3 linked regions of the Sus scrofa genome follow. The protein of the gene in region 1 binds, or shares a complex with, the protein of each later gene. Links are inferred from orthologs where the notes say so. Each region holds a gene or a part of one and is shown in the gene's direction. Other genes may lie near its edges.

What was found.
Region 2: APBA1 (region 1) and LIN7B share a complex: the UniProt entries of both Homo sapiens proteins name them as parts of the brain-specific heterotrimeric complex. The link is inferred for Sus scrofa from reciprocal best matches to the Homo sapiens genes APBA1 and LIN7B.
Region 3: APBA1 (region 1) and LIN7A share a complex: the UniProt entries of both Homo sapiens proteins name them as parts of the brain-specific heterotrimeric complex. The link is inferred for Sus scrofa from reciprocal best matches to the Homo sapiens genes APBA1 and LIN7A.

Annotation. Positions count from the first base shown.
Region 1 is NC_010443.5:222,836,444-222,838,937, reverse strand, and holds part of APBA1 (amyloid beta A4 precursor protein-binding family A member 1), read left to right. Parts: exon of another isoform or gene 1-879; 5' UTR 880-948; coding exon 949-2,148; intron 2,149-2,494. UniProt on the Homo sapiens protein: Putative function in synaptic vesicle exocytosis by binding to Munc18-1, an essential component of the synaptic vesicle exocytotic machinery. May modulate processing of the amyloid-beta precursor protein (APP) and hence formation of APP-beta.
Region 2 is NC_010448.4:54,308,755-54,312,490, forward strand, and holds the start of LIN7B (protein lin-7 homolog B), read left to right. Parts: upstream 1-797; 5' UTR 798-833; coding exon 834-870; intron 871-1,299; coding exon 1,300-1,418; intron 1,419-1,699; coding exon 1,700-1,771; intron 1,772-2,357; coding exon 2,358-2,567; intron 2,568-3,736. UniProt on the Homo sapiens protein: Plays a role in establishing and maintaining the asymmetric distribution of channels and receptors at the plasma membrane of polarized cells.
Region 3 is NC_010447.5:100,669,617-100,673,269, forward strand, and holds part of LIN7A (protein lin-7 homolog A), read left to right. Parts: intron 1-2,854; coding exon 2,855-3,073; intron 3,074-3,653. UniProt on the Homo sapiens protein: Plays a role in establishing and maintaining the asymmetric distribution of channels and receptors at the plasma membrane of polarized cells.

The DNA of each region.
Region 1 (2,494 bases):
TAGAATCAAAGATTTTTAGGTGTATGAGGGAAGTGAGTATTAGAAGTCAGCTAGTCAGTGTTTCTGTTAAGTGCACGTCTCAGAACACTGGCCTCTAGGAAAAAAGCATTTCCCAGTCAGACAGGTTTGGGAACCCTGCAGTCTATCTTCCTCCCTTGAATTATTTATAATGAGAAGTCAACACTCAGCTGGCCTTTCCCAAACTTATTTAACCATGGAGTCTTTTTTTTTTTTTTTTCCCTTCTGTGTAATAACTGTTAACATCCTGCTGTAGGAAATGAGTCCAGTCTCATAACGGAGGTCCAGAAAATTAAGCCACTCAACCCAAGGCAACAGAGCCAGTAATGACACAACTAGAACATACTGCTGCTGGCTTCCCTCAGAACGGCTGCATATTTGTATTGACAGCAATGCCTTCAAAACATTCCAAGATTATTTTTTCCCTTGAAATTATTTAAAGAATCGTTTCTAGAGTATCTAGGATCCTAGTTTAATTTACAGAGATTTATCTCTTAGCAGATGGAAAATGTGTCAATTGCCTCATTCAATTTAGTAGTACTCTCTATTCAAATGCATCAGAAACAGAACCTGAATAGTAAGCTGTGGGGGAACTAAAGGCTCAGGAGGCTCTCAGTTAGACGGGTGGGGAAGGGAGAAAGCCAGTAAGCAATTAAACAAGGAGCTATGTAATTACAAATTACGACACGTGCTACGAAGATGAACTACGTGCCGTCAGAATGAGCTTACATTTGCAATCACTTTTTAATTGACCCTGATTCAGAAGGGATCAATAACAGCTAGTTTTATGGTTATCTTGGTACTCAGCTTCTGACTACAGTCTGAACCACGTTAACAACCCCTCCCTTCTTGTTTTTCCAGCCGGGCAGAACAAAATGAGAGCGCTTTGAGCCGGCCCAACCTCTCTCCCAGCCGTCCCCGACGCCCACCATGAACCACTTGGAGGGGGCCGCGGAGGCGGAGGTGGAAGTGACCGACGAGGCGCCAGGCGGGGAGGTGAACGAGCTGGTAGAGGCCGACCTGGAGCACCCCGAAGTGGAGGAGGAGCAGCAGCAGCAGCAGCACTATGGGGGCCGACCCTCGCGCGGGCGCGCTGTCGAAGACCTCCGAGCATCGCCCGGGCAGCAGCAGGAAGAGGAGGAGCGCGGGGAGTGCCTGGCGCGCTCTGCCAGCACCGAGAGCGGCTTTCACAACCACACGGACACCGCTGAGGGCGACGTTATTGCCGCGGCCCGCGACGGCTACGACGCCGAGCGCGCGCAGGACCCAGAGGACGAGAGCGCATACGCCGTGCAGTACCGACCCGAGGCCGAGGAGTACACGGAGCAGGCGGAGGCCGAGCATGCGGAGGCCACGCACCGCCGCACACTGCCCAACCACCTGCACTTCCACTCGTTGGAACACGAGGAGGCCATGAACGCTGCATACTCGGGTTACGTCTACACGCACCGGCTCTTCCACCGCGGCGAGGACGAGCCCTACGCTGAACCCTACGCCGACTACGGGGGCCTCCAGGAGCACGTGTACGAGGAGATCGGAGACGCGCCCGAGCTGGACGGGCACGACGGCCTGAGGCTGTACGAGCAGGAGCGCGACGAAGCAGCTGCGTATCGCCAGGAGGCCCTGGGCGCGCGGCTACACCACTATGATGAACGCTCCGACGGCGAGTCTGATAGCCCGGAGAAGGAGGCCGAGTTCGCGCCCTACCCGCGCATGGACAGCTACGAGCAGGAGGAGGACATCGACCAGATCGTGGCTGAGGTCAAGCAGAGCATGAGCTCACAGAGCCTCGACAAAGCAGCCGAGGACATGCCCGAGGCCGAGCAGGACTTGGAGCGTGCTCCTACCCCAGGCGGGGGCCGCCCCGACAGCCCTGGCCTGCAGACCCTGGCGGGGCAACAGCGGCTGGCGGGTACCGTGGGCAGCGAGGCGGTGCAGCGGTACAGCAAGGAGAAAAGGGATGCCATCTCGCTGGCCATCAAGGACATCAAGGAGGCCATCGAGGAAGTGAAAACCAGGACCATCCGTTCGCCTTACACCCCCGACGAGCCCAAAGAGCCCATCTGGGTCATGCGCCAGGATATTAGTCCCACCAAGGATTGTGACGACCAGAGGCCGGTGGATGGAGATGTAAGTGTGTGCGGATTCGGACTTGCCCAGCTCTAGGCGCGGTCTTCTGGGAGACGGGCGCTGGGTGGTCATTGGGAGATGACTTGATGAGATAAATGATCAGTGGGGACGCTAAAAATCGTGTCCACCGTAAGCTTCAGAGACAGCTTGCACTAAAGCCCCAGTGAGTGAAATACAGGTGGGAGGGGATGAAGTGAGGAGAGGTTGCATAAATCAGTGTTTCTCAAACAGCCCTTGGAGCGCTTGTTCAGAAATCGATTTCCACTACTCCCTGTTCCCCAGTTTCTCACTTAGAAGGGGCGGGGCAGAGCCTAAAAATTTGCATTGCTAGCATCCAGTAAACAAT
Region 2 (3,736 bases), on another chromosome or scaffold:
CTGTTCACCTTCCTCATAAACAGCTCCAGTTCATGGAGTTCCCCTGGTGGTGCAGCGGAAACGAATCCGACTAGGAACCATTGGGGTTGCGGGTTCCATCCCTGGCCTTGATCAGTGGGTTAAGGATCTGGCGGTGCTGTGAGCTGTGGTGTAGGTCGCAGACCAGGCTCGGATCTGGCGTGGCTGTGGCGTAGGCTGGCAGCAACAGCTCAGATTGGACCCCTAGCCTGGAAACCTCCATATGCCGCCGGTGTGGCCCTAAAGACAAAAAAGACAGAACAGAAAACCAGAAAACTCCAATTCTTACTCTGCTATCCAACCATGTGGGCTCTTTCGGTCTAGAAAGTGACTCACGAGCCACCTCTGGAGCTCTCCTCCAAGGACTCTATGTCAATGTCCCTCCTGGATCCCAATTCTGATCACGGTCGTAGTTTAGTGTCTACCCGCCCCCCACCCCCCGACTAAGCTCCAGGACGGCAGTGGACTTGTGTACCCTGCTCATCACCACGCCGGTCATCTTGGGCCGAGATGTTTAACAAGTTGTCTAATAAATCTGGGAGAAAGGGATAGACAGGGGACAGACAGGTGTGGCGGGCAGCTCAGATAGACTGAGATGAAAGGTGGTGCAGACGCTGCAATGGACGGTCACAAACTCAGCGGACCGATGGAGTTTGAGGGCAGGGGAGCGAGCCCCGAGCGGAGGCCGGTAGGGCGGTGCGCACGCCAGGCCGCGCCTCTGCAGGTGGCGCTCGTCGCCGGGGCGTGGCCTCGCGCAGCCCCGCCTTCCTCGCCGGCGACCCGGCAGGCGGGTGCCTCGCAGCGGCGGCGCAGACATGGCTGCGCTGGTGGAGCCGCTGGGGCTGGAGCGGGGTAAGCGCGCCAGGCGGCCCTGCCCACCCGGCCGCGGCCTGCGTCCGGGACCCGGGCCCCGGACTCCGGGCCCCGCCCCTCCCCCGGCGGGGCCCAGGCGGGTGGGCGGGCCCGGCGGGGGTGGGCGGGGCGGGTCGCAGCAAGTCAGGCTGTCGATGGGCGTGGGAGGGTCGGCGGGCCCGCTGGACGGCGAGGGGGAGCCCGCCGCCCACCTCCGGCCGTGTGTGCCTGGGGATCCTGGGGACGCAGGGTGACTGGTGGCAGTCTCTCCACTGCCGCCGGCAGCTCTGCGGCTGTCCGACTGGGACTTGGCTGTCTTGCCCCGGGTCTGCGCTCGCCCTTCCTCGGTCTCCGGCCGCATATCTCCGGGCTTCGCTGCGTCTTCCAGTCTCTGACTCTGTGTCTGTGCGCCCCGCCCCCGCCCCGCAGACGTGTCCCGGGCGGTGGAGCTCCTCGAGCGGCTCCAGCGCAGCGGGGAGCTGCCCCCGCAGAAGCTGCAGGCCCTCCAGCGAGTCCTGCAGAGCCGCTTCTGCTCTGCCATCCGGGAGGTGAGAGCAACGCAGCGCCAGGGCCCGAGCGGGCGGGCGGCCGTCGTCCTCCTCTGGGTCGCCCCGAGCCTGGGGACTACGCCTCCCAGCAGCGACCGGGGCGGCCTTCCTTTGGGGCGCCCGCGCTTCAGCTCAGGTGTCCATTGGGAATTGTGGTTCCCGCGGCCTCCGGGCTGCAGGGGCGGGGCGGATCTGCGGGTGGGAGGGTCTGCAGGCCCGGACTTCTGGGTTGAAGGCAGGCGGGGGCTGGCGGCTCCTCGACGCTTTTGCGTCCTCACCAGGTCTATGAGCAGCTCTATGACACGCTGGACATCACCGGCAGTGCTGAGGTCCGGGCCCACGCCACGGCCAAGGTAGGCGCCCCTCGCCCCACTGCGCCTGGCATCCTCCGAATGGGATGGGCTGGCTCAGCGTCCTCCCCACGTCGGTCAGCCGTGTTTCAGGCTTCTGCCGTGTCTGTGTACCTGCCTTACTTAAGTATAAGGCATTTTACATACGCGCCCATCTTTCGCTTAAATGTCATATAAAGGCGTCTTTTGCCACTAGAAATAGAAACTAGTACCAAATGCCTGACGGGAAGCTGACCTTCGACAGTGAAATAGCGTTAAACCCCGAAATCTTACTAAACCCCAGTTAGATGCTGTTCCCTTGCTGCTTCGTGGAGGCTCTTGGCTCTGTCCAGGCCTTGTCGTTCTGTTAAAAAGTGAGATTGGCGAGTGTTGAGTCTCCGAGACTCACGCATGCCACGTGGAGACGTTCCTCTTTGATGGGGTCCAGAGGGACTAAAGAGGACTTACGGTCGCTAAGGAGTGCTCTTGTGTTGAATGGTGGAAGCGCCCCGAGCTCGAGGGCCCAGATCTTCCACCCTAGTCTGCATGCCCATCATGGGGCCGGGGGTGGGGGGTGGCCCTCAACCTCCGGAGGCTTTCTCTCTCCCAGGCCACGGTGGCTGCCTTCACGGCCAGTGAGGGCCACGCACATCCCCGGGTAGTCGAACTGCCCAAGACGGACGAGGGCTTAGGCTTCAACATCATGGGGGGCAAGGAGCAGAATTCGCCCATCTACATCTCCCGGGTCATCCCCGGCGGCGTGGCTGACCGCCACGGAGGCCTCAAGCGTGGGGACCAGCTGCTGTCAGTGAATGGTGTGGTGAGTAGGGGGCTGAGGTCACCGTCTGTCAAGGGTAGCACGGTGCCTGTTTTTTTTGGGGGGGTGGTTCTGGAGTCGTTTGTTTTTGTTTTTGTTTTGGCTGCGCCTGCAGCACGTGGAAGTTCCCAGACTAGGGATGGAACCTGAGCCACAGCAGCGACCCAGGCCTGCAGTGACAACACCAGATACTTAACCCGCTGTGCCACAAGGGAATTCCCAGTCTCCGATTTTGACAGTCATTCAACACACACTGAGCACTGCCGCTGCGACCAGCCCTGTGCCAGCCGTTGCTGCAGACTCTGAGAGTAATTGGTCCTACATTCAAGGACTCCTTCTTTGGTGAGGGAGACAGACCCTCACTGAAAAGTCCTAAACCGGAGAGATAATAATGAAGAAGCACAAAGCATTGTGAGGGCCTGGGTGTGGCACCAGACCAGTGTAGATGAAGGATGTTTTTGCAGATGAAGGCACATTTTGAGTTGGGTTTTGAAGGATGAGTAGGAGTTCTCTGGGCAAATGAGAGGGGAAAAGGGTGTTGCTGGCTGGGGATGTTTTAGGTAGGGGCCATGACTCTGCACTCCTATGTGCCGAAGAGAAGGGGCTTGGTTCTGATAGAAGGCTGGGGCAGACAATGCAAATCACTGTGGTTAGAGTAGCTGGAAGCACAACTGGACAGGTGATTGGGGCCAGCCTGAGAAGCTGGGACTTTGTCCCAAGGGTTCCTCGTGACCAGTGGGAGGGCTGTGACTAGGGGAGGGGTATGCTCGGCCTCGAGTTGTAGAAAGACCCCTTTGTCCTTTGTGGCTTCGTTGGGGATGGACTGGAGAAAGAGACTGGAGGCCAGAAGGGCAAGGAGGGTGAGCGTCCACTGGGGAGAGGACGAGGCCTGAGCTGGGGCCTGGTGGTGGGGACAAAGAAGAGGAGTCAGGCCAGGAGGGCTGGGTCGAGCTGTGGGGAGGGAGCGGATAAAGATGAACCTGCAGTCCGGCTCCGTGACTGGGAGCATATGGGGCATTTGGAAGGTTTGGGAGAAGGACGTCAAGGCAAGTGTTAGTGACTCTCCCATGAGGACATGAGGACCTGGTGTCTTGGGGCTGGTACCAGGCTCACCTACAGCTGGTCTCATTTCCAGGGTGGGGGCGGGGGTGAGGGTGGTAGGCCCCAGGCCC
Region 3 (3,653 bases), on another chromosome or scaffold:
TTACAAAGAAATTACAAGCACACTGTAAACACACTTTAAATTGTACAAAGTTGTCAAAGCCGTCCCCTGTCCACGCTCTTCCAAACAACGGAATAGAATAATGCATGCTTAAGTGACCACTCTGTTGAGTGACCAAGTCAGCGATTGAGTGAATCAAGGAATAAATTAATCAATGAATACGCCTATTTTCCTGGGCTTAAAAATTCACAGATAAAAATTCACTCTGCTCAACAGCTATTTATAAACCTTTGCCTCTCTATTTAGACCAGACGTGGCGAAGGAGTGGTTATATAAGTTGCCTCCAGGGCTCTCCACAGTCATTTCTTAAACCCTGACTGTCTGCCTGGTTCTCGGACAGATGACTCAAGGCCACCGATGACTGGCTCCTTGCTAAATTCAAAGCTTTCTGTTTTCTCAGGCCACATCCACCTTGCGAAGCACACGGCAGAACAGAATACAATTTCTTAAGTCTCCAAACCTCTGTAACAGTCATAATTATGAATCTCAAGATACAATTTAAGTGTGCTTAAAATGCAAGGTATTTTTTTGTCACTCAATGTAATACTCATTTTAGTTCCCCTTCTGCTGGGGTGGTGAGAATGTAATCTGAGCCCGTGTCAGGTGGCCTTCTCTGCCACTCCAGTGCCCCTCTTCGGTGTCCTGGCAGTGTTTAAGCCCATATCAGTCCCTGTCTGCCACATCACACAGCGGTTTCTCTTCTGAGCTTTCCCAGGAAGCACTTGAGGTTATGTCTTCCGCCCTGGGCATCAGCTGAGAGGGAAGGACTGTCTCTTCTCTGGGTCCTAGAATGCCTGATTACAGCTTTCTTCTGTTTTTCTTCTTCCTAATTCCAACCCAGAGAAACTTTAGAAGGTTTAAGAGAAGCCCCTTGTTTCTTTTTTCTCTTCTGGCCGCCCCAAGGTACATGGAGTTCCCAGGTCAGGGATCAGACCCAAGCCATAGCTGCAGCAACGCCAGATCCTTAACCAACAGTCCCAGGCTGGGGATCAAACCTGCACCCGAGTGCTCCCAAGATGCCCCTAATCCTGCTGCACCACTCTTTGAGTTTACTTATAGTAAACATTGTTTGCCCAACTACTGCCTATGCCATGATGGTCAAAAGAGTATTTTGAAACTCAAAAGCCAAGAACTGATTTTTTTTTTTCTTTCTGTAACATGTCTTATAGGTACATATGTATATCTAAATACTTCCATAGTGAATTTCCCTGAGTCTTCCTTTTTAAAGGGGTTATCCAATGAGTAACAATAGTGCCCTCCAGGAAAACTGTACTAGGTTTTGTTATCTTTTTCACAGTAAGAGAGAATACCTTTTTTCTCTATCCTTCTCGGTACACCATATTCAAAAATATATCTTTACCATTTTAAAATCAAACTTATGGCTACTAAAGGGCAAACTGTGGGGTGGGAGAAGGAATCAATTGGGAGGATGGGATTAACACATACAAACGACTCTACATAAAACAGACAGCGAACCAGGACCCACCGTATAGCACAAGGAGGTCTACTCTGTAATAACCTATGTGGGAAAAAAGAATGGATATATTTATATGTATAACTGATTCACTTTGCTGTAACTTGAAACTATTACAATATTGTAAATAAACTATACTCCAAAACATTTTAAAAATAGGAAAAAAATTAAGTCTACACTTAAGTGTTAAAAATTTTTTTTTTCATCTATATTTCTTTATCAGGGAGCTTGGACTTTCTTCATAGGTTTATTGACCTTTTTTTTTTTTCCATTTTTCGCTCACACACTCGGCACATGGAAGTTCCCAGGCCAGGGATTGAATCCCAGCCACAGCTGCTACCTATGCTACAGCTGCAGCAATGCTGGGTCCTTTAATGTACCTCGCCAAGCCAGGAATCGAACCTGCACGCTGCAGGGACCCAAAGGCACTACGATTGGATTCCTAACCCACTGTGACACAGCAGCAACTCTGGCCATTTTTTGAAATGGTTATTAACTTGCCCATTTTGCTTAATCTTTATTGACTTGTAAGAGCACTTCGTTTGAAGAGTATTCGTAACAAATTGACTCCTGTGTTGAAAATATTTTTTTCCGTTTGCTACTTGACTTTTTTAATGGTGTGTGAGACTGAAAGGTACCGTTGTTAAATATGACTTTGTGGGGAGTTTCTTGCCGTTTTTACTTGAGAATTCCTTGTGCATCACCAGATGATAACATTGACCTGTGCTTCAGTTGTTTCATGGTTTTATTTTGACATGTGAATGTTTAATCATTCTGTTATCTTTCGCATAGACTGTGAGATTGGAGTCCACACTATTTTTTATCATTTAATTATTATCTGTCCCAGCATCAAGATTTAACAGTCCTTTTCCCGTTTGGTCTAAATCCTACATTTATCATAGGATAAAATTGTATGTGATGGATCTACTTCTAGACTCCATTTCCTTCTACTGTCTCTTACTACACCAATGAGACATTGCTTTCAGCATTGTAGATTCTTAATAAATGTTAAAATCAGACAGGCAAAGTCCCCCTTCCTTACTCTTTTCAAATTTTTTCCACGTTTCCGGAATAATTCATTTCCTTCCCCGGAAATTTAGAAAGCGCATTCTCAGTGTTAGTGTTATCTCTGAGGTCTTCATTGCCTCTCACCCTCCTAGCTTGAACCTCTGTCCTGCACCCCGGTGCAGCCTGATGGTTGGTTCAGCTACAAATGTAATAACTAATAATGATGGTAGCGAATCCCCTTTGCCATCTGGAAATTTCAAACCAGGACTATACTTTTGATACGAATTTTAAATTTGGCTCTAGAGCAAAGAATGTGGCAACTCTCCCCTTTAAGAAATGTCACTGTCTTTCCAGAGTGTGGAAGGGGAACACCATGAGAAAGCCGTGGAACTCCTCAAGGCTGCTAAGGACAGTGTCAAGCTGGTGGTCCGATACACCCCAAAAGTCTTGGAAGAAATGGAGGCTCGATTTGAAAAGCTCCGGACAGCGCGGCGTCGGCAGCAGCAGCAATTGCTAATTCAGCAGCAGCAACAGCAGCAGCAGCAACAAACACAGCAAAACCATATGTCATAGGTGAGAGGTGCCTTTTTCCATACAAGGAAAGTCCCTTACACATACAACTTCGGGTTTGTTTTTTTTTTAACATAATTTCTTAGACAGCTGGAACATAATCATTAGATTTAATACTAATATAAAAAATCAAACAAAAAACAATGACCTCAGAAAGTGTAAACCCCACAGTTGCTTCCTTTATGTGTGATTCAGCCACATTCTCAGCAAATTTAAGATATTTGAAAAATGACATACTTTGGGAGGGCTAGGTATAGACTGTACAGTGCCTATATGCAGAGTACAGAAATGCGGCCTCTATGCAAACCCATCCCCAGGCACGTGGCTGGACGACGGTGTGTGGGCTAGATTCCAGCCCCCCTCACCACCGTAGCTAGTTGCTTTTGCACATTGTACAAACTTAACAACCATGTAGAGCAGAGCCTAGGAAGCTCTCCTTTAGACTACTGAAGCACGGTTTACTAGCAAACTGCTGCACTGGAAAGGATGAAGTAGAGACCTGCTAGTGCTTATGCTGTGAGATACGTGTGTGTATATATTTTTTTAAAGGCCGCACTCATGGCATATGAGGTTCCCAGACTAG